2 linked regions of the Stegostoma tigrinum genome follow. Each later gene encodes a partner of the first gene's protein in a complex. Links are inferred from orthologs where the notes say so. Each region holds a gene or a part of one and is shown in the gene's direction. Other genes may lie near its edges.

The links. Proteins that work in one complex are often made in the same cells at the same time.
Region 2: the proteins of rims2a (region 1) and protein unc-13 homolog A-like are in contact, whole or in part, in a crystal structure (PDB 2CJS), measured with the Rattus norvegicus proteins. The link is inferred for Stegostoma tigrinum from reciprocal best matches to the Homo sapiens genes RIMS2 and UNC13A. Residues at the interface, in XP_063118965.1 of Rattus norvegicus: Asp102, Gly103, Cys104, Ser109, Gln112, Val123, Leu125, Ser127, Asn128, Lys129, Val134, Met135, Trp136; in NP_074052.2 of Rattus norvegicus: Tyr23, Ile36, Trp65, Leu69, Ile70, Trp71, Asp72, Thr73, Met74.

Annotation. Positions count from the first base shown.
Region 1 is NC_081358.1:60,890,950-60,900,858, forward strand, and holds the start of rims2a (regulating synaptic membrane exocytosis protein 2), read left to right. Parts: upstream 1-5,223; 5' UTR 5,224-5,388; coding exon 5,389-5,405; intron 5,406-9,909. UniProt on the Homo sapiens protein: Rab effector involved in exocytosis. May act as scaffold protein. Plays a role in dendrite formation by melanocytes.
Region 2 is NC_081383.1:22,119,363-22,129,621, reverse strand, and holds the start of protein unc-13 homolog A-like, read left to right. Parts: upstream 1-5,892; 5' UTR 5,893-6,172; coding exon 6,173-6,194; intron 6,195-10,259. UniProt on the Homo sapiens protein: Plays a role in vesicle maturation during exocytosis as a target of the diacylglycerol second messenger pathway.

The DNA of each region.
Region 1 (9,909 bases):
GTGAACAGGTACTCCTAAGCTTTTATTTAAATTTGAGAAAGGGCAGGTTTGAGTATGATTGATCAAGATATGCAATAGCCAATACACCAGTACCTGGGGGCACCGGGGTCCCCAGGATTTTAATTGAAAAAGCACAAAGCTGGAAAGATCCCTTTCTTAGAAAGAAGCCTGTATTTGAATATATGTAAAACTTTGCTCTAACATCACTGCTCCCTTGATCTTTGCAACACTAACCACTGCCCTGACTGAAGTTGAATCATGTGTTCCCCTCCCAGTCTCACCTACTTACTGGAAGGATGTTGTAACAATTGCAGTACTTGATTATAAATCAGTCTTAGTCTTAGCCTGTCTATGCCAGGAGGTTGTGGCATTGCAGTAGTTCATTGCAATGAGGGCCAAAGCTGAATGTCTCTTGACACTTGTACCTTCCCTGTACTTCCCAAACGCCAAGAATGGGTGCTTCCAAACTTCTGGTCAAAGTTGATGGTGTTGATAATATATAGTTACAAATGAACATTACCATGCAGATCAAACCAAGAAATCTTTCTCCCATGTTTACAATGCCATTGATGCATAGCAGCTAAATATTTTGAGTATCTGAAGCAAACCTGATCTTTGCAACACATGAAGGTATAAGGTCCTTCAAAGTTCCAAAGTAGTATCTATGGCATACATTACATACCTGACGGAAAGTACAGTGGATGCCAATTGACAAAGAAATTAATGTTTGAGCACGTAATGTCTGCTCTATAAATATAGAGCAAGCATATCATTTCATATTTGATGCTGGCCTTCCATTTACAAGCCAATATCCTGTCTTAATCTTGCACAAGAAACACTAGTGCAGCAACATGAATTCACATCAAAAATTTTTTTAAGAGAATAATTTCAGGAGCAATTCTGTGTTTTGGTGAGCTCTGTTAAAATTTCAGCAATGCACGGGGTGGAATATAAGGTGCTGGAAGTATTTTTTGCTGCCTTTAAAGGCTTTTTCACTGACCAGCTGCTCAGATATGGGCAAATCAATAGGCTTTTCTCTTAGTACAATACTGGGCAAGAAAGGAGAATAAGCAAAAGTGGAACAGATTAGGAAGGAAAGGACAAGTACTTTTACCATGAGGTTGTTTTTGCCTAGAGGGAGCAATTGAGAATAGATCGCAGATGATGCCTTTGTTTCTTTGCACCCTGCCATCCGGAGTTATCCTGGCAGCTGAATGAACTGAGATGGCAGAAAACTAAGATTGCAGATTACCAGTCTGAGATCCCAATGTAGCATTGATATCTTGGTTGGATCATACTCTCACTGCAAAAGAAACTGAAATAGATCAGATACTGCATTATGGCAGGTTCTACAACAGTGCTACTGCTTGTTAGAAAGTGAGTGCTGCAGACACGGCAGAGCCCTATGCTTAGTCGTTGTTGGAATTTGCCATACTCCTTGACATTGAGGGTGGTCCATCTAAAATCACGAAATCGTACAGTCCCTACAGTGTGGAAGCAGGTCATTTGGTCCAGCAAGTCCACACCATCCTTCTAAAGAGCATCTGTCCCTAATTCATATGTTGATATCTATGGACTTGGTCTCAGCAATGGCCATGCCCATAATGACCAGCATAGCGTCCTTCCTGTAGGCTTGTACGTGCAAGTTAAGTATGAGTTTTGATCATGAGTGATTGTTGATGTGTAAGAGTTGGGGACTTGGTGAATTTCCCAGTGGGTGGGACTAATGGGACAGTTGATAGGATATGGAATTGAAGATGCAATGGCAGATCTTGATCATTTGTTTGAGTTGAAAGAACTGCATTAATGTTCTGAGCGCCAAACTCCTGACATTGACCTCTAGTTCTTTCTCTTGCCAATGCCTTCTGAGATGTACCTCAAGGGTCTCCAGTCTTGCTGAGTGTACAGAGCATTTCTTGTTTATTCACTCACTTCTACCAAGATATCCAGTGCAGCAGCTGAAAATCTTGCTCCCTCCCATAGTCTGTCATTGTTGCACATTCCAAATGATCTCGGTATTGCCAGAAGTTACAATGCATCTTTCCTTTTAGGAGGTGCAGGCTAGCTTTAAATAGTTATTGTAATTATGTTGGGGCCTGCTGATGCATTCAGTCAGAATTGCAGATTAGCTGTGGCTACATGCAGGAATCATTATCATGAGCAGTTGCCCTCTTGCTGCGTTATATTGAACAAATGTAGGTGAATCTCTTGTGACCTGCACATCTGTTTTGAAAGGCTGGCCACGTTAGCCCTTTAACACTTTAACATTGTTTGATTTGAAGAATAATTAATCTTTGGAAATGTAAGTCTAGAGATTGCTATCGGCAAATGTCGACAATGAGCTTTTAACACAGATCTTAAGACTGGAAGATAGGGGAGCAGAATTAGGCCATGCAGCATATCGAGTCAGACTGCCATTCAATCGTGGTTGATATATTTTTCAACCCTGTTTGCTTGCACTCTCTTCGTAATCCTTGATTCCCTTACTAACCAAGAACCTGTCTATCTCTCTGTCTTAAATAAACTCAATGAATTGCCCTCCTTAGCCCTCTGCAGCAATGAGTTTGACAGAGTCACCACCTTTTAGCTGAAGAAGTTCCTCCTTATCTGTAAGTTTCAATGAGATCTTACCTCCTCCTTTTAAACTCCATCGAGTACAGACGAGTCCTCAGCCACTTGTTGTATGGTGGCCTTTCATCTAAGGATCATTCTTGCAAACCTCTCCCAGACCACCTTCAACACAGCTCCTCTCCCCTTAGTAATGGGCCCAAAACTGCTGTCCGTATTCCAAACATGGTCTGATGAGAAACTTGTACAGCATCTGCAGTACATCTGTTCTTGTCTTCTGGCCCTCTAATGAATGTCAACATTGCAGTTGCTAACTGAACCTGCATATCATTATTAAGAAAACCCTGAACAAACACTCCCAAGTCTCTTTTGCACTTCAGATTCCTGAAGCCTTTCTTGCTTCGAAAATACACCTCTATTCTTCCTACCGAAATGAGTAACCTCACACCTTTCCCACATTGCATTTCATCTACCAGTTCTTTCTCCACTTGCCTAGCATGCCTAATTCCATCTGTGGCCTCTTTTCCTCAACATTACATGCCCTCTACTTAGTATTTGCAAAATTAGCGATAATGCACTCAGTTCTTCCATCCAGATCAATAATGAGCAAAGTGAATATTTGTGGTCGTAACACTGAGCCCTGCGGAGCTCCACAAGTCACCAATTGCTACTCGGTAAAAGATTTCTTTATCCCTACTCTCTGCCATCAGTAAGTCAGCCAATTCTCTATCCTTGCCAGTATTTTTCTCCTAACACCATGGACTCTTTTTTTCTTATTTAGCACTTTGTCAAAGGCATTCTGGAAACCCAAATAGTAGATGTCATGGGTTTCATAGAATACCTATAGTGTGGAAGCAGGCTATTCGGCCCATTGTGTTAGCACCAACCCTCTGAAGAGCATCCTACCCACCTCCAACCCTATTCCTGTGACCCATTACTTCCCTTGGCTAATTAATCTCGTCTGCACATCTGTGCACGCGATGGACAGTTTATAACCAATCCACCTAACCTGCATATCTTTGGACTGTGAGAGGAAACCTGTGCACATGGGGAGATTGTGCAAACAGACAGTTGTCTGAAGGTGGAAGTCAACCTGGTTTGCAGGTACTGTAAGGTAACAGTGCTAACCACTGTCCTCTGCCTCTCCTTTTTTGCCTAACTTACTTGCTCGCTAAGCTATCTGCTTCAGACCTCTGGTGTATAGTGCATCCGGTTGAAGTGATTTATATCACTTCAGACTTTTCAGTTTCCCCAGCACCAGTGATGGCCACTACATTCGTTTTTGCCCCTGACTCTTAAAATTCAATTATGTTGCTCTTGTCCTAAGTCAGTGCTGGTGGGTTTAGATGGTGCCGTCCTAAGTTTTGGTGAGTTGTATTTTGTAGATGGCACACGCTACGGCCACTCTGAATTGAGAGTAATGAGTGTTTATGGTGATGGTCTGAATCAGGTTTATCCTGGATGGTGTCAAGCTACTTGAATATTGTTGGTTGCACCCATCCAGGCAGAGGGGAGTGTCCCATCATACTCCTTACTGTGCCTTTGTAGATGGCGGGCAGCCTTTGGGGAGACAGAAGCTGAGCTGTCTGTTCCAGAATTCCCAAACTTTTATGTGGTTTTACAGCCACACTATTTATATTGCTTGTCCAATTCAGATTCTTGCCAACATTAACCAGAATGTTGGTAAACAAATTAAACATGCACTAAAGAGGTACGTGTATCAGGAAGGATTGAAATGGTTGAGGCTCTTTTCTTCAAGAAATTGGCAAGCTGAGAGATGACTTTTCGAGTAACTAGAATTTATTGTATTTTGATCATACTTTTGAACTATTCTTTTCTTAAGGTCATGGATGATAGCTAATAATTATTGCCCTGTTATACAACACAGCCTTTCACTATTTATTTGCATAGATGCTGGAGTTCGATTTCAAGCCCATACTATTAATCCAGGGCAATGATTTACAGTTGCAGTTGAAATTAAGTGCCATTCTGGCACTCCATCTAAGTTTTGGACCAACATTGCACCTGTGAACCAGCTTCTCGCTCCAATACAGAATATAGAAAGAATGGATCAATGATATTTCACAATTTTTTTTATAATTGCACGTATCGGTTAAGATTTCTCTTGAGAAATGAAACTGACCTTAGTGTCTGCACACAACCTTTTTTAATTTCTGATTTTTCTGTTCAATGCAGTGTGGTAGCTTCTCAGAACAAAGCAGGTTAGCATTTGCCCACTCTGTACTATAATTTGTTGTGCTCCCTAGAGGAATTGTACTGCTTCAGTTTTATGTTCTGCTGACTATTATCATTGAAATATGATGAGAGCAGGGCTGTAGAGATTTGAATTGTATGTTTAATTTTAAGTCTGAGTTTTAAAGGTATCTTTTTGGATTGGGATTAATACAGAAATTTCAGACAGTGAAACAGATGAAAAACCTGCCCACTCTTCTGCAAGCCATATGCAGCCGCAGCAGTTTGCCATGGATTGAACAAGATGGCCACAGCAAGAAGTATACCTTCTGACAAAAATCTGGCATTATTGACTTTGTCATGTAGTACAGCGTGAGATTGAGATGTGGGGAAAGTGTGGGGTTAGGTGATAAACTGCTTTCTGCTGTTATTGCACACAAATCATAAGAAGACTGCCTAGGAGATGCAGGAAAATTCTAAGACACATACGAATGCTGTTTTCTATCTCTGGGATGAGTGCTGTACACATGGTCAGCATTACTGGATTTTAAACCTGTAAGACTGTTACTTGACAAATCCAGTATTTTTACCTGTTGAAAATTGTACCCATATAATTGACAAAAAGTCATGCCCATCTGGAACAGGTAGGATTTAATATAGTTGCTGGATAATTTTTATTTCAACATTTCAATGGACTTTTGCAGTAATAATAATTTTAAAATGTGTTTCTAATATTAGTTAATAATGTTCAAGTTTATCTTAATATTTGTGAGTTGAGAGACAAGAATTGGAAAGGAAAAGATTTGAAAACTTTCTTGAAACAATGGTACAGGGCTATATTGTTAAGCTGAAAGGAGAACTAAACTCAAGATGAATTAAAATCTGGAATTAATATTTATTTCCATTATTATATTGTGGCTGTTGTGTTTTTCACTTTCATACGTGGTGTAATAGCATTCTGAAGCTTTTCAGATGTTAAAACTTTTTTGCCTACAAAAGAAAACTAAACTAATCAAAGAACCTTGACAACATAGAGGTCTGACAGCTTGGATAGTAGCTTTTCATTTCCACAGAGGTGATTATGGACAACCTGAATCTGTTGAAATTTTGCTTTGCATATTTTTCCAAACAGTTGGAATTAGACTTTTCTTCAGAATAGCTTTATAACATAATAGCCCTGCTGAAATTGTCATATAACAATCTATTATGAGGCTGGAGGTTGAAAATATTTGAAATTATGTTGAACCGAGATTTATTGAAGTGGAAAGTTATCAATCTTGCAATCAATTGATAGTGTGCTTCAATAATTTAATTATACTAGTTTACTCGATATTAAGAACATTACACTCATAGATCTGAATTTTAATTCGAATTGATTAGATGTCAATTTTCAGCTTCTCTCCGTGAGCTCTACTGAGAGATCTCTCAATTTTGGCCACCTTATGCACCCTGTCTCTATGGCACTGTTTTTGCACTCAGCAACAAATGTGGTCATCATCACTATTGGAAACTTCCAAGATTTCTATAGACAGACTCTATTTAAGAGCCACGTTTGCATCAGGCTGATCACTGCCAGGCATGAATTCAGTTTACAGTATAATGGCAAAGAAAATGAAAAATAAAAGCTTCTGAAGGCATGGGTGACTGTTCATTGGAAATAGAAACCCACTTTACTAAGTGTACAAATGCATCATCACCTGCCTGATCCTTAGTTCTACTCTATGATGCAATCCTGACTAAGGAAATGCTACTCCTCCCATAATGTGCAGCAGAGCATAACATCTTACCATTGTTCATTGTGGGAGTATGACTTGTTGAATGGCCTTCAAATAGTGGGAAATGTTTATCAAAGATAAAAATCTAACAAAACAAGCTTCATTTGTTTCTGAATGTAAATCGTGGTTGTTTGCTTTCAAGCAACAACAAATTTACAGTGAATAACAGATCATGTCACCAATTGCCATGTGTTGGAAGCAAGTATCAATTTAGTCCTGTATCACAGATAATGGGAACTGCAGATGCTGGAGAATCCAAGATAATAAAGTTTGAAGCTGGATGAACACAGCAGGCCAAGCAGCACTCTAGGAGCACAAAAGCTGACATTTCGGTCCTAGACCCTTCATCAGAGAGGGGGATGGGGTGAGGGTTCTGGAATAACTAGGGAGAGAGGGGGAGGCGGACCGAAGATGGAGAGTTAACCCTGCAGCCCAATGGTATCAATGTGGACTTCACCAGCTTCAAAATCTCCCCTTCCCCCACCGCATCCCAAAACCAGCCCAGTTCGTCCCCTCCCCCCACTGCATCACACAACCAGCCCAGCTCTTTCCCTCCATCCACTGCATCCCAAAACCAGTCGAGCTTGTCTCTGCCTCCCTAACCTGTTCTCCCTCTCACCCATCCCTTCCTCCAAACCCAAGCCGCACCTCCATCTCCTACCTACTAACCTCATCCCACCTCCTTGACCTGTCCGTCTTCCCTGGACTGACCTATCCCCTCCCTACCTCCCCACCTATACTCTCCTCTCCACCTATCTTCTTTTCTCTCCATCTTCGGTCTGCCTCCCCCTCTCTCCCTATTTATTCCAGAACCCTCACCCCATCCCCCTCTCTGATGAAGGGTCTAGGCCTGAAACGTCAGCTTTTGTGCTCCTGGGGTGCTGCTTGGCCTGCTGTGTTCATCCAGCTTCACACTTTATTATCATCAATTTAGTCCTATTTGGTTTCTTGTACTCTGCTGCAGTACTGTATCATGGTGAAAGTGATGTTCATTCTGCTCAATTGATAGTATACTCCAATAGTTTCATTATACTAGCTTGTTCTATATTAAGAACATTAGACTCATAGAACTGAATTTTAATTGGAATTGATGAAGTGTCAATTTTCAGCTTCTCTCCATGAGCTCTGGCGAGTTATCCCTCTCCATTCTCCTCAACTTCCTCCTCTGAAGATTGCTGCAGTTGCAGCTCTTCAACATCCGTCACATCCCCTCTTTGTCTGCTCCGGTGAACAGAGCACAACATGCTAGGATCATGTGATGCACCCTGACAGACTGGACTGCAAAACTGTGTCAGACTGATCCAGGCATTGGAATTTCACCTTCAGGAGGCATAGCATCTGCTCTATGGTGGCTTTAGTGGAAGAATGGTCTGCACTTTGCATCTACACTCAGCCTCAATCAAGGGTTTATGCAATGGTCAGCAACTGTGGATGCAGAGGGGAACCTTATTCTCAAGTAGCAAACTTTTTAAGCCATATGATCCTTGAGATGAAGCAGGAAATGAATTCTCAAGGATATGGACACCTTCTGGGCTGCCCAAAGCAGACTCTTAAGATGCGATACCCATGATGATGTATTGTTTGAATGTTGACCGAATAGATCCTTTTCTTATTGATGAATTCAGCCATTTTTAAAATGATATTCTTAGCACAATGTGTACAGTCTTTAGAGTCCTATAGCTGGAAGAAGCCAGCTATGTTGGCAAATACTGACAGGCTGCAACACTTACCCTGTCATGGAAAAATCAGATAAATGATGTGAACTGACACAAATTGGATCAATAACAGCCAAGATACATTTGTGGGTTGAGAGGTCTTAGTAGGTCTACAGTGGATCTTTGGAAGCAGCCTGTTGCATAAAAAATTTAGTGCAGCTATCAACTTGACAGTAATTCTGATGGGCTGGCTATCTGCCCTTGAGGGTACAAATCCTGCCCATCAAATGATACAAGTCTGTGACAGTGTCCTGGGACATTGAGTCTATGGCAGCAATAAGCCTGCTAATCCTGAAGAAATGTCATTGAGGTCAATAGACTCTTGACCTGCTGGGCTTGAGATTGGACACTGCCCTTGACCAAGTCTGGTGAGGCAAGCTCATTGACAGTAATCCCTGTTGACGTGACTGAGGACAACTCGGCTTAGATTTTGAAATGTGGCGATTTAGTGGAAACGCATTCAGTGTGTTTGCCGCAAAGTTGCTGGCACATGCTGGAGGCGTGAAATTGATCTAACACAGTGCCATATGTCAATATTAACCCTGTTGACTGTTCACTGCTGGCATATGTGGTAAATTGCCCAGATTTGTCTAAAAAGATGATGAAGAAAAGGTTTTTATATAATGAGTAGTTAGGATCCAAGATGATGTGCCCAACTGAAGGGTGGAGGCCAATCCATGTGAACTTATGAAAAGGAATTGTGCCTTTCTCCATTTTTCTTGTGTTCTGTCCTCCCTGCCACACCACCTCAGGCAGTCTTCCTTGTCTTGATCACTTTGCTGCCTATAAAAAAGGACCCATTCTCACCCTTCATACCTTAATTCATGTCCATTTTACATATCTCTTTTTAGGCTTCTATACCATCTGTTGGATTTATCCCTGCTCTGCCTCTGCTAAAAGTCTACAAATACACATTTTCTAACATCTTTGAGTTTTGAAAATTAGTCTTATTAGCACTGAAAATGTAAACTCTGTTTTTCGTTCTCCACGAATGTTCCCAGACTTGCTGAGTTTCTTCAGCAACATTTGTGTTTATTCTTATGAAAAAGAAATTTGCTAAGTACATGAAGATAAAAAAAATTGCAGGCAAACTGGAAAATGGTGTGAAATGAGCTGGATTGCTGAGCTGCACTTATGGAGAGCCAGCACAAACACATTGGAACAAATCACAGTGTAGCCATTTTCTGATTGAGTTGGTGACATTGAATTTGGATGCATGATTCTTTTGCAAAAGCTCAGGGAGAACCTCAGCTTGGGAGCAGTGGGAATTGTTGAGATTGCGAACAGTCAACAACAACAAAGAGCCATGAAGTTGGACACCGTTTCACATCTCAGAGATAATGGAAACTGCAGATGCTGGAGAATCAGAGATTACAAAGTGTGGAGCTGGATGAACACAGCAGGCCAAGCAACATCTTGCTCCTAAAATTCTGCTTGGCCAGTTGTGTTCATCCAGCTCCACACTTTGTTATCACCATTTCGTGTCTGTCAGTTTAGGGAGAGTTTGGTTGATGGGTCTTGCCATGGGGGAGGCCCTTCCCAATTAGCTTTCGGATGTAGGGAAAGATGAAAATGCATTTGAATGAGGTGAAGATTGTTTTCTCGACTGATATGCAATATAGGCATGTTATTTGTGAAGAAATGTTGAACAGTGTAGA
Region 2 (10,259 bases), on another chromosome or scaffold:
ATCACAAACTGTGCTATCTTCCACAGTCTATTAATCCGGTTGAACTTGTTTTCTGGCGTGGGTATACTTTTCATCATCGCAGTTGTCTACACTGTGGTTACAATTAGGAGGCAAACAAAGGGGTTTCCAATGGGGATTGTTTCAGCTTTGTATAGGCTTGATAGATGCCAGATAGTTCATCGGATGTCTCATCTTGTCTTCCAGTGTCTCATTATCCACACTTGGACGACGTAAAGGATCGTGTCCTCTCTGTCACAAGCGCATGGCAGAATTCTGCCATGATTCCAAATTCTACAGACATACTGGCAGGAGGATGGCACATCATTCGATGAATTTTACATTTTCTTCTCACTTTCTTTTAAAGATACACTGCTTCACAACTGAGTCACACTACTTTGATTTTTTAAATTTCGTCCATAGGATATGGTCCTGGAGAAGGTGATGGTGGGTCGCTACAACCCTGGGTTGTAGGTGCACCTAGTGCTGGTCTGATAGGAGATCCAAGACTTTGTTCCAACGACAGTGGATAAATGGTGTTATAGTTACGAATGGCGATGGTGTGTGACTTAGAAGATGCAGAGGGTGGAATTCCCATAAATCTGCTACTCTGGCAGAGGTTGGAAGAACCTTGGTCTGCCCTGAGGCTGGGATTGTGTGGTGAAGCACGTAGCAATCAAGTTTGCATATAGGTTGGACCTCCTGAGTTTGTCGTAGGTTCGATAGATGTCCTGTAACCGGGAAGAAATATGCAGTTCTGGGTGATGTTGGTCGGGAAGAATTTTATTTGCTGTTACAAGGGCGGAAAAATTCTTGTGGGGCCGGAATCGAGCCTTTAACGTAACTTTGAGTTTACTTGACAACTTTTTGTTTCAGCCTAAACAGATTTGAATCGATTTTTCAATCCGAGTCTGTTTGACTCAAAGTCCCAGAACTGCAGATGTTGGAAATCCGTAATCAAAGAAAAAAAACAGAAATTGCTGGAGAAACTCATCAGGTCTGGCAGAGAGAAAGCAGAATTAACGTTTCGACCCCAAATGACCCTTCTTCGGAACGAGTCACTTCTAACAGTTATTTTAGTGTCTTGCAGGCACCTTTTCTACTTGTTCACGAATAAGTAATATGGGAACTTTTGTGATTTCAGGATGTCTTGTACAACTTCACTGCGATATTATGTGCTCCTTTTCGACTTTCCCCCCATTTTAATAAACTATAACGAATATCAGTGTATTTGGTGACCATGTGCAGAATTGAAATCAGTGGCTCTATTTTCTACACTGTCAGCGAGTAGCTGTAATTACCAGCATAGTGGGAAATCTCAGTCTCTCTGTCAGACAGTGGCAGCACTCTGAAAGACTTGTAACTACCATGTAGAAGCAGAGCTCCAGCAATTCACAAATAAAAGACAGAACGGCCCAGTTTATTGAAACCTTGAACACAGTTCAAACGCCCATTTCTTTTAATGTGTGTATACATAATTATACACACGAGGCTACGTTACATTCTGGGAGAGGTATTTTAAGAACTGGGCAGGTTTGTGCCCGGGAAGCCAAAACTGGGCGGTATCCAAACAAGTTCAGAGGGAAGGTTTTGGTTAATGTTAATCACCATTTGCTTTTAATATTTGAATGGGAATGATATCGAGGTCAGCAAGTAGAAATGGAAGCTGGGGTGCAAGGCGATGCCGCTGAAGAAAATTTGGCAAGAACTAGTGAAGGAGTCATCCAAGGCCTAAAGTGTATTTCTATTTCTCCAGACCGCCTAAGGAATCCTCTCAAAGGTTGAACACAGTACTTCCCGATGTTTCTTTTAAATATTGTCAGATGTTTCTGGCATATTTAACATCACACGCCTCCTACTGAATCATAGTTCAAATCGCATTGCACGTCAGTTATATAATTAATCTTCAATTTGTAGATTTAAATTAGACTGCCGCTTTTCTACATAGAGATTCTTGGCTGACTGCGAATTGCTGCAGATGAAATGCAGCTGGGTGTGAACGGAGCGCCTTTTGAGTGAGTGGGTTCAATGCCCTCACACAAGCCGTACCCACTGTGCAGAATGGGGACAGTGAATTTTTTTTTAAAAAAACGACCCTTGCAACTTTAAATACAGCTGGGCAGATGTTGAGTTTAAATGCGGAAACCATACTACATTACAGGATAATAAAATGTGAGGCTGGATGAACACAGCAGGCCAAGCAGCATCTCAGGAGCACAAAAGCTGACGTTTCGGGCCTAGACCCTTCATCAGAGAGGGGGATGGGGGGAGGGAACTGGAATAAATAGGGAGAGAGGGGGAGGCGGACCGAAGATGGAGAGCAAAGAAGATAGGTGGAGAGGGTGTAGGTGGGGAGGTAGGGAGGGGATAGGTCAGTCCAGGGAAGACGGACAGGTCAAGGAGGTGGGATGAGGTTAGTAGGTAGCTGGGGGTGCGGCTGGGGGTGGGAGGAAGGGATGGGTGAGAGGAAGAACCGGTTAGGGAGGCAGAGACAGGTTGGACTGGTTTTGGGATGCAGTGGGTGGATGCTTAATTCTAACAACACAATCAGTTTCTATGAAAAAGTTAACGTCAGACCAAAAACCGTGAAAGTACTTATGTGAGCTAGAACGGTCGTTCGTTAAGCTACGAAGAAGGAGCACATTTAACAAAGTAAATAACCTGAAGTAAATAAATAAACAAAATTCTGAATGTCAAAATGGTTAAAGGAGGAAAATGTCTGTGATTCTGGAATTCACATCTTGACTAGTTCTGACTTTTCAACTTTTATTTATAATCACCTTGCAGTGCCTGATTTATGATGAATTGTTTCAGGGAGTCCATTAAGATTCCCCGGCATTTTGCCAACAATATTTTCATATTTCCAGAGCCTCTGTCTAGTTCCAGGTTAGAATATTAGAATCAGATTCCAATCGGCTAGAAGGGACTACAATAAATGACGTGCAGGATATAAAGAATGCTTCATCCTGAACAGTATTTAATAGGCAACTAGAAAATGAAAAATAAATGTTAATATTGCGTGTTTCAAACAGCTACACAATGAATAAATGTAACATTTCACAGCAAACCTGATGGTAAATGTCAAAACTTGTAACTCCATTTCACTTTCATATCATGTCACTCAATTATTTTAGGGACAAATGCACTTTGCAAAGACACTATTCTGAAGTCTAAATTTACTTCTCCAAGTGTGGAACTGATATCCAAAGAATAAATTGTAGCCCCTTTGCAAGTTCACACAAAATTCTGGGCATTCTCATTAAAAAAAATTGAGTTGTGAAGGATATAGGGAGTAAGTTTGCAGTCATGTGCTCTGAGCAGGGGAGGGAAGGGCTGGCTGTATTCGTGGACAGCATGTATCAAAGAATCCAGGCTACAATATTGTAGGTCATCCCTCACTTTTTCCTCCTGAAAACACCACAATGTGACATTATCCAGAGGTCCACTGAATTGTCTTTCCACTAAATCTTGTGTTGATGAACTCTGATTAAGTTTGTCAAACATAATCTCTGAATGCTAAGACCTAGATAGCTCTTGTTATTTGATTTTATTTTTAGAAAAAAAACAACTCCTTTAATCTTCCTCCAGGATGCCACCTTATGTTGTACCTGCTACAGATGTAAAGCTCACCAATCTGTAGTTTTGAGTATTATCTTGTTTCCATACACAGCTGGTAAACGATTTGCACAGTCTTCTTCTGAACAATGATAAAGCTGAATTTATTACATAGCTGAACTTACTGGAGCAATTTACTGATTTGCCTCAGCATAACGCAGTAGAATTGCTGTTCTGTTTGACTACAGAAGAATGATTGCTACACTCTAAAAGTAATTAATCAACTGAAACAATTTGAAACATTTTAGCACGATTGGATCCTACATAAATGCAAGTGATCTTTATTGATAAATACTTCCAGCCAAATGTAGTAGCATCACCGTGCGGTAAAATAGTATGTGCTTGCTTAAATAGCCAGCAATTTGATCACAATGGTCTTGTTGTTCTGCAGATGTTTTGCACTTGTCACCCATGGCACCACACACTACATCCCCAAATAATGGTGAGCATGATTTGATGAGTACAATGTTCATGTATATCCCTAGACATAGTGTTGCGTGGTGTTCTGAAGAAGGGTCACTGGACCCGAAATGTTAACTCTGTTTTTTCCTTCACAGATGCTGCCAGACCCACTGAACTTTTGCAGCAACTTTGTTTTTGTTCCTGATTTACAGCATCCGCAGTTCTTTCGGTTTTTATGGTGTTGCATTTGTAAGGCTTACCCATAATTAAGGCCATTGACTAGGATGATAACTTAAATGGCCTTCCCCAACACCTCACACAAGCAATCATAATTAATCTTTAACATAATTATTTAAATATCGTAACAATTTTGTATTAGGAAATAACTAAATATAAAGTGTTTGTTTAATGCTTCTAACGCTGCTGCTCCTAGACCGACCATCTTCAAAATGAAGATGCAATTATGTAATCATTTGTTTCTGGAAAATTCTCGTCTTATTGTATCTTCAGACACTTTGGGGAAGCATGGTGAATTTTAACATGAATGAGTTTAAGATCGAGTGTATTTGGGTGGGTTTAGTTTGGGGAAGATTCCATGGGTATCATTTTATAGCCATATTTGCTGGTGTGGTGGGGTGAAACATTCAAAGAGTGATTTCCAGCTGCTTACCCACCCACCTCCTCACACCCAGCCACAATGTTCTGACTGTGAGGAAGATAGCAGGAATCCCAGTAGTTATGCCGGCTTGGAGCTCAAATAGGAAAGGGGACTTTGGGTGAATGCTTCTTTCAACAGTCCCATTGTCTGATAGGACATTGCCTCTGAGGTGAGGCCCCTCACTCTGTCAGACATTCTCTGGTTCATGCCTATTACTTGATATGTCTATTTGCTGGCTCAACATTGTTACTGCAGGAGCAGCTTGAGTCTTTCTGGCTCCTAACTGTAAAATAAAACAAAGAACTGTGGATGCTGGAAATCTGAACAAAAACAGAAATTGCAAGAGAAACCCAGCAGGTCTGGCAGCATCTGTGGAGAGAAATCACAGTTAATGTTTGGAGTCTGGTCTTAAGAAGACAATACGAAACAGCTGAGTTGCTCCAGCAACTTCTATTTTTTTTGGCTGGTAAGACTTCCTGCTTGGAGTTGCTTTGATCTACCAACCTGACACTGTGCTCTGTTGCAGTTTTCCCAAAGTACATTAAGTTGCTGGTATTTATCTGGAGTTGCTGTGAAATGTCCAAGTATTTGGATCTGTCAGGAGTTGTGGAATCTGACTGGGATCTGCCTTGTTTGCACCATCTGGGATCTGACTTGAGCCATAGTGATTTCTCTGGTGTTGTTGAGATTGATGAACAGCTGATGGGATCTATCTGGAGTTGCCGAGGTCTGTCCAGACTTTCTGGGTATAACAGAGATGTGCCGTATTTGGGATCTATCCAGATTGGCTGTGATTTGTTAGGATTTGTTGGATCTATACATACCTATTGGGATCTTTCCAGAGCTGCTGGCAACCAATTGGAGTTGCGGTATGTTCCCAGATCTGTGATCTGTCGAAGTTGGGTATGCCTTCTCTGAATCCCGGTGGGGATCTGTCCGGAGTTGGCCACCATTTCTCCGCTTCCCTATTGGGATCTGTATGTGAATTATCTGGATCCTCGTCGAGATCTGTCTCGAGTTGCCGCGATTTCTCTGGATCCCGTCCGCGATTTCTCCGGATTCTTGTTGGGATCTATCCGGAGTTGGCCGCCGTATCCCCGGATCCAGTAGGGAATCCGCCCGCGATTTCTCCGGATCCCTGTTGGGATCTGTTCAGCTGCTGTCATCCCGCCAAATCCATTCTCGCGCCGCCCCATTGTGACGTCAGTCGGGCCAGGGGCTGCTCCCAACAAAATGGCGGCCGTAGAGTAACGGTCAGGAGCAGACATCGAGAGACAGGCAGACGGAGACAACGAGGAGCTGCTGTTACTGCTAAAGAGCCGGGCGATAGGGGCAGCCTCTTTCTACAGACTCTTTAACCTCTCCACAAGACGATAAAGAAAAGCATACGTGTATCATCTAACGGCCGGAGAAAGAGAGAGAGAGAGAGAGAGAGAGAGAGGAGAAAAGTCTTTGGAAGAGCAGGAGGATCAGTGGAGCGTGGCCGAGGAGACCGGAGACATGTCTCTCCTTTGTGTCGGAGGTAAGAGGCCCCCCCACCTACCCCCACCATCATCATCCCTACCCCAACGCCTCCTGTCACTCACTGCTTCCACGGAGCTGCAATGGTTCATCAATGAATGAGTGAATGAATGGATATCAGCAGCCTCTCATAGACTTTAGTAGGTGCGCGCACACACACATATATATATACACACACACACACACATATATATACACACACACACACGATTCATTCAGAAATTTTAAGCAAAATAGTCATTTGGTCCATTTGCATTCACCTGACACACAGAGAGTGAGGGGTTGTTTCGTCAAGGGGTTGCTCTTTCTTTAGCGAGCGACTGTCTGGATCGCTGTCAAACCAGATGAAGCCGTTCGGGCCTCATTATTTGAACCCGAAATAATATTTCAATGATGTGGCAGTTATTTTCTATGTGAAATGTGCTGGACATCCAGTTTGTTTTGATATTTCAGAGTTAGTGACACCCTCATGCCACTAGCACTTACGAATGAATTCGTTGCAGCCCATCTGTCAGATTTTTACTGACGAATAACCGCACCTGGGGTGGGTGTGGGGATTGTTGGTTGGTTGTTTCGCGCAACCTCCCTCCTACAACCCCCCCCACCCACCCACCCACGCCTCAGTTTTGCTTCATTAGAAGTTAAAATATTAACCGATCCTGCCACCCTTTGTGCCAGGACAGAGACTGTAGAAGTTACTGTCAAATTCCTATTCTGGAACGATTCGACTGTCTAAACTAACAGGAGCAGTTTTTGTAAAGTAAATACGTCAAACGGATTCTGGAATGGGAACAAACTTAAATTCCTGGCATGCTTTTCAAATCGTATACACTTTAATACATATTACAATCGACCATATCTTTCAGACCCTCCTTCTCCATTAAGCATAGCAAATGGACAGTTTGCTCATTTTGTTTTAAGAAAAGGTGGCTGATATAGCAGTGTGGATTTTCAGTATTTGTGCATTCAGTGCTCAGGGAATAGAAATTGAATGAATGGGAAGTGTCATGGCATCTTGTTGCAGCCCGTCAGTTTGTGGTACAGTACAATGGACAGCTCCCCCCTCCCGCACCAAACCGCTGACGGTTTATTTCAGATCTCATCAACACTTGCACAACGACTTCTCTTGAAAGGCGATTGTGTTCGATTGACTTATTTTAACAGTAATTTCCACTTTTAAATAAACATTCAATTGTTGACCATTACATGGGGTTTAGGCAGACCCATTTCATAAATGTGGAATAAATGTTGGTAGAATAATTTAATGACTAGTTAGGATTTATTAGATTCCCTGGCAGTAAAAGTGATGACAGCCCAAACTAACCTTATTTTAATAGTAAATGGGTGAACAATTTATATTGTTAACATAAGAAATGAATACAATGTTTTTTCTCCTCTCCAAAAATGCAGAATGTCTATTAAATTAGTATTTTATTGCAATTTTATTCAAACGAGCAGAACTCTCCTCACTGCTGTATTTTGTTTATAAAAAAAGTAAAACTTTCAAATGCTGATTTTAAATTATTATTTAACCGCAATGTTTGTTACCACAACTTTGTGGAACATATTGTTGATAATATTTGTTAAAATTGTTTGGATTTGGGAATTACACACTGGAAATGCTTGTGATCTTCCCATTACTTCGTAACTTTCATGAAGTAACAATGATCTATGCTGCTGAAATTTAGATATTATTACTACTTTCCTTTCAGTGAATTAATCATTAATGGTATACAGTTTCCTTAACTGAGTCATAAACCATATGTGGGTCACTTCCTAATCATGGATAAGATGTCTAACTTTGTTTTACGAATGAACTAATGGATTCTATTTTGGTAGACAGCTATTGATTTTTTGGCTATAGAGGGTTAGTGAGTGAAACTGGCAGCTAAATCAAGTTAGATTTGTAATTGAGTTTTCATTGAAGGCATATTTTTACATCATGTCATGCATAAAATTAGTTTAGTTACAGGAAGATACAGATATTAGTGGGTTTGGGAATTAACATCTGAATTTGAAAAAAAATACTTTCCAGTAATTACGAACAATTTTGATTCTTTTCCTGATGGGATACTACTATGTTTAGAGTTGGTCAGTTGACATTAATTCAGTTATGTTTACTTGCAAAATTTCCCTGTGTTGAGAGTTAAATTTGAAATAAAAACAAAAGCGCTGGAGAAAGTCAGCAGATCTGGAAGCATCTGTGGAGAGAGAAATAGCATTAAAGGTTAGATTCCAGTCTGACTTGTATAACCTTGGAGTTATATTTGCTTGGAGTCAGATGCAAAGTAAAGTTGAATTTACTTTGGAAAGTTAAGGTTAATAAAAATAACATAGTCACATTTTGCCTTCTACAATCCAGAAACATTAGAATCCTTGCACTGATTTTAAAAAAAAATGCAGACATGAAACCTTGATATTGTAGTAGAAATCACTCAAGATTGATGGGGTTACTAAATATCTAGCAACAAAATGTTATTCTTAGTATCTGGGAGCAAATTTCTGATGTATTTAAAGAATAAATAGTTAAGCAAAATGTAAGCTTTGTCCTTTTATTCCAGAATACCTTTTAAGTTCAGATCAAAGCATGATTCTGAAAAATGCTTTCTGTAAAAGGGATAAAGGATAACTTAATTAAAGTCATTGCTTTGTAACAGGCTTCATGAGTTGTTTGACATCATCAAAATACATGTAATCTGAAAACTTTCCTTGGAATTGTTTAAGTTGCATACAGTAGCATTATTAATGCAGTAAAGTGGGTAGCATTAAATATTGCCTCCTGTACATATCATATTATTTGCACAGATTTTACAGTCAGTGGCAAAAGCATACTTGCCATTAACCCTGGGGCAGTCTAAAGGTAGTGGAGTTCTGTCCAAAGCATACATTTCCTTTTTCAAAGCTAATGAATTTGATTTTGATAATATTTATAGAAAATCTGTGGAATCCAGAAATGCAACAAGCTAATTCTTTACTGTGAGAATCTTCACTAATTGAAGCTGAAAGCAAAACACATGGAATATAGTTCCTGTATAATCATTTCATAAAAAGTTAATGGGATTTGGGATTAATGAAAAAGAATAGTTATTAATTTTGAAAATAAATTTTTAAAAAATTTTGTTTTAGTAATCGATCAATTTTAAATGTGCTCTGTGGGATTAATGTTTCACAACTGGAGAGGTTGTTCAAGAGTAACTATAATTTATTGTTTCACAACTGAGTTAAAAATCTAACAATAACTGAGCAAAACTTAACATTTTCCTTGCTGACTTTTTATATCATAAAAGTATTGTAGTAATAATAATATGAAGATGACGGATAGAAACTGGTGCTATTTAGCCTGCTACATTCAATTTCTTCATGCAGAACTGGTTTCAAGTCTCCAAATACAACATTTGGTATGTGGCCAAAATCTCTGGGAACTAGTACTGACTGATGAATATTGTGGTCATCTCTGCTAAAATAAGATCAATAAAATGACTGGTGTTTTCTTTTAAAAGAAGAACTTATAGGTTTACGTAGCAGGATATATAAATGATTCCCAACATCCTTTACAGGCAAAAGGTTGTCAATGTATCCTCAACACACTTTGGTGAGCTCACTTAAGATAATCTATTCTAATCGTTTAATGGCTGAAGAAGCAATTCTGGGAAGTCAAAGTCTACCACATATGCTGTGAACATTGTTTTTGCCAATGGTATAGGATGCTCTGTGCTGATGCTGTGTTGGCCGGCCTATTATTTGTCTTGGAGCTGTGAAACCAGGAATCATGGTGGTGGCAAACCCATCTATTGGCAGGAATTTGTTATTTGTATGGGTCATCATTGAGTTTCCCACATGTAATGATTGAGTGTTATTGTTTCTCTTGACAGTATTCTTGAATCAGAGCTTTGGGCACACTGCTGGTTTCTTGGCATTGATAACTTAGTCATATATCACATGCTTGATGATCTGATCATCTTCCATTTGTGTACATGCCTTAGACAGCAGAGCCTTGTTTGCTTGATTGAACCTGCTATGACTGGCAATTTTTCAACACAAAAGGACTGCTTCATTGGTGAAATTG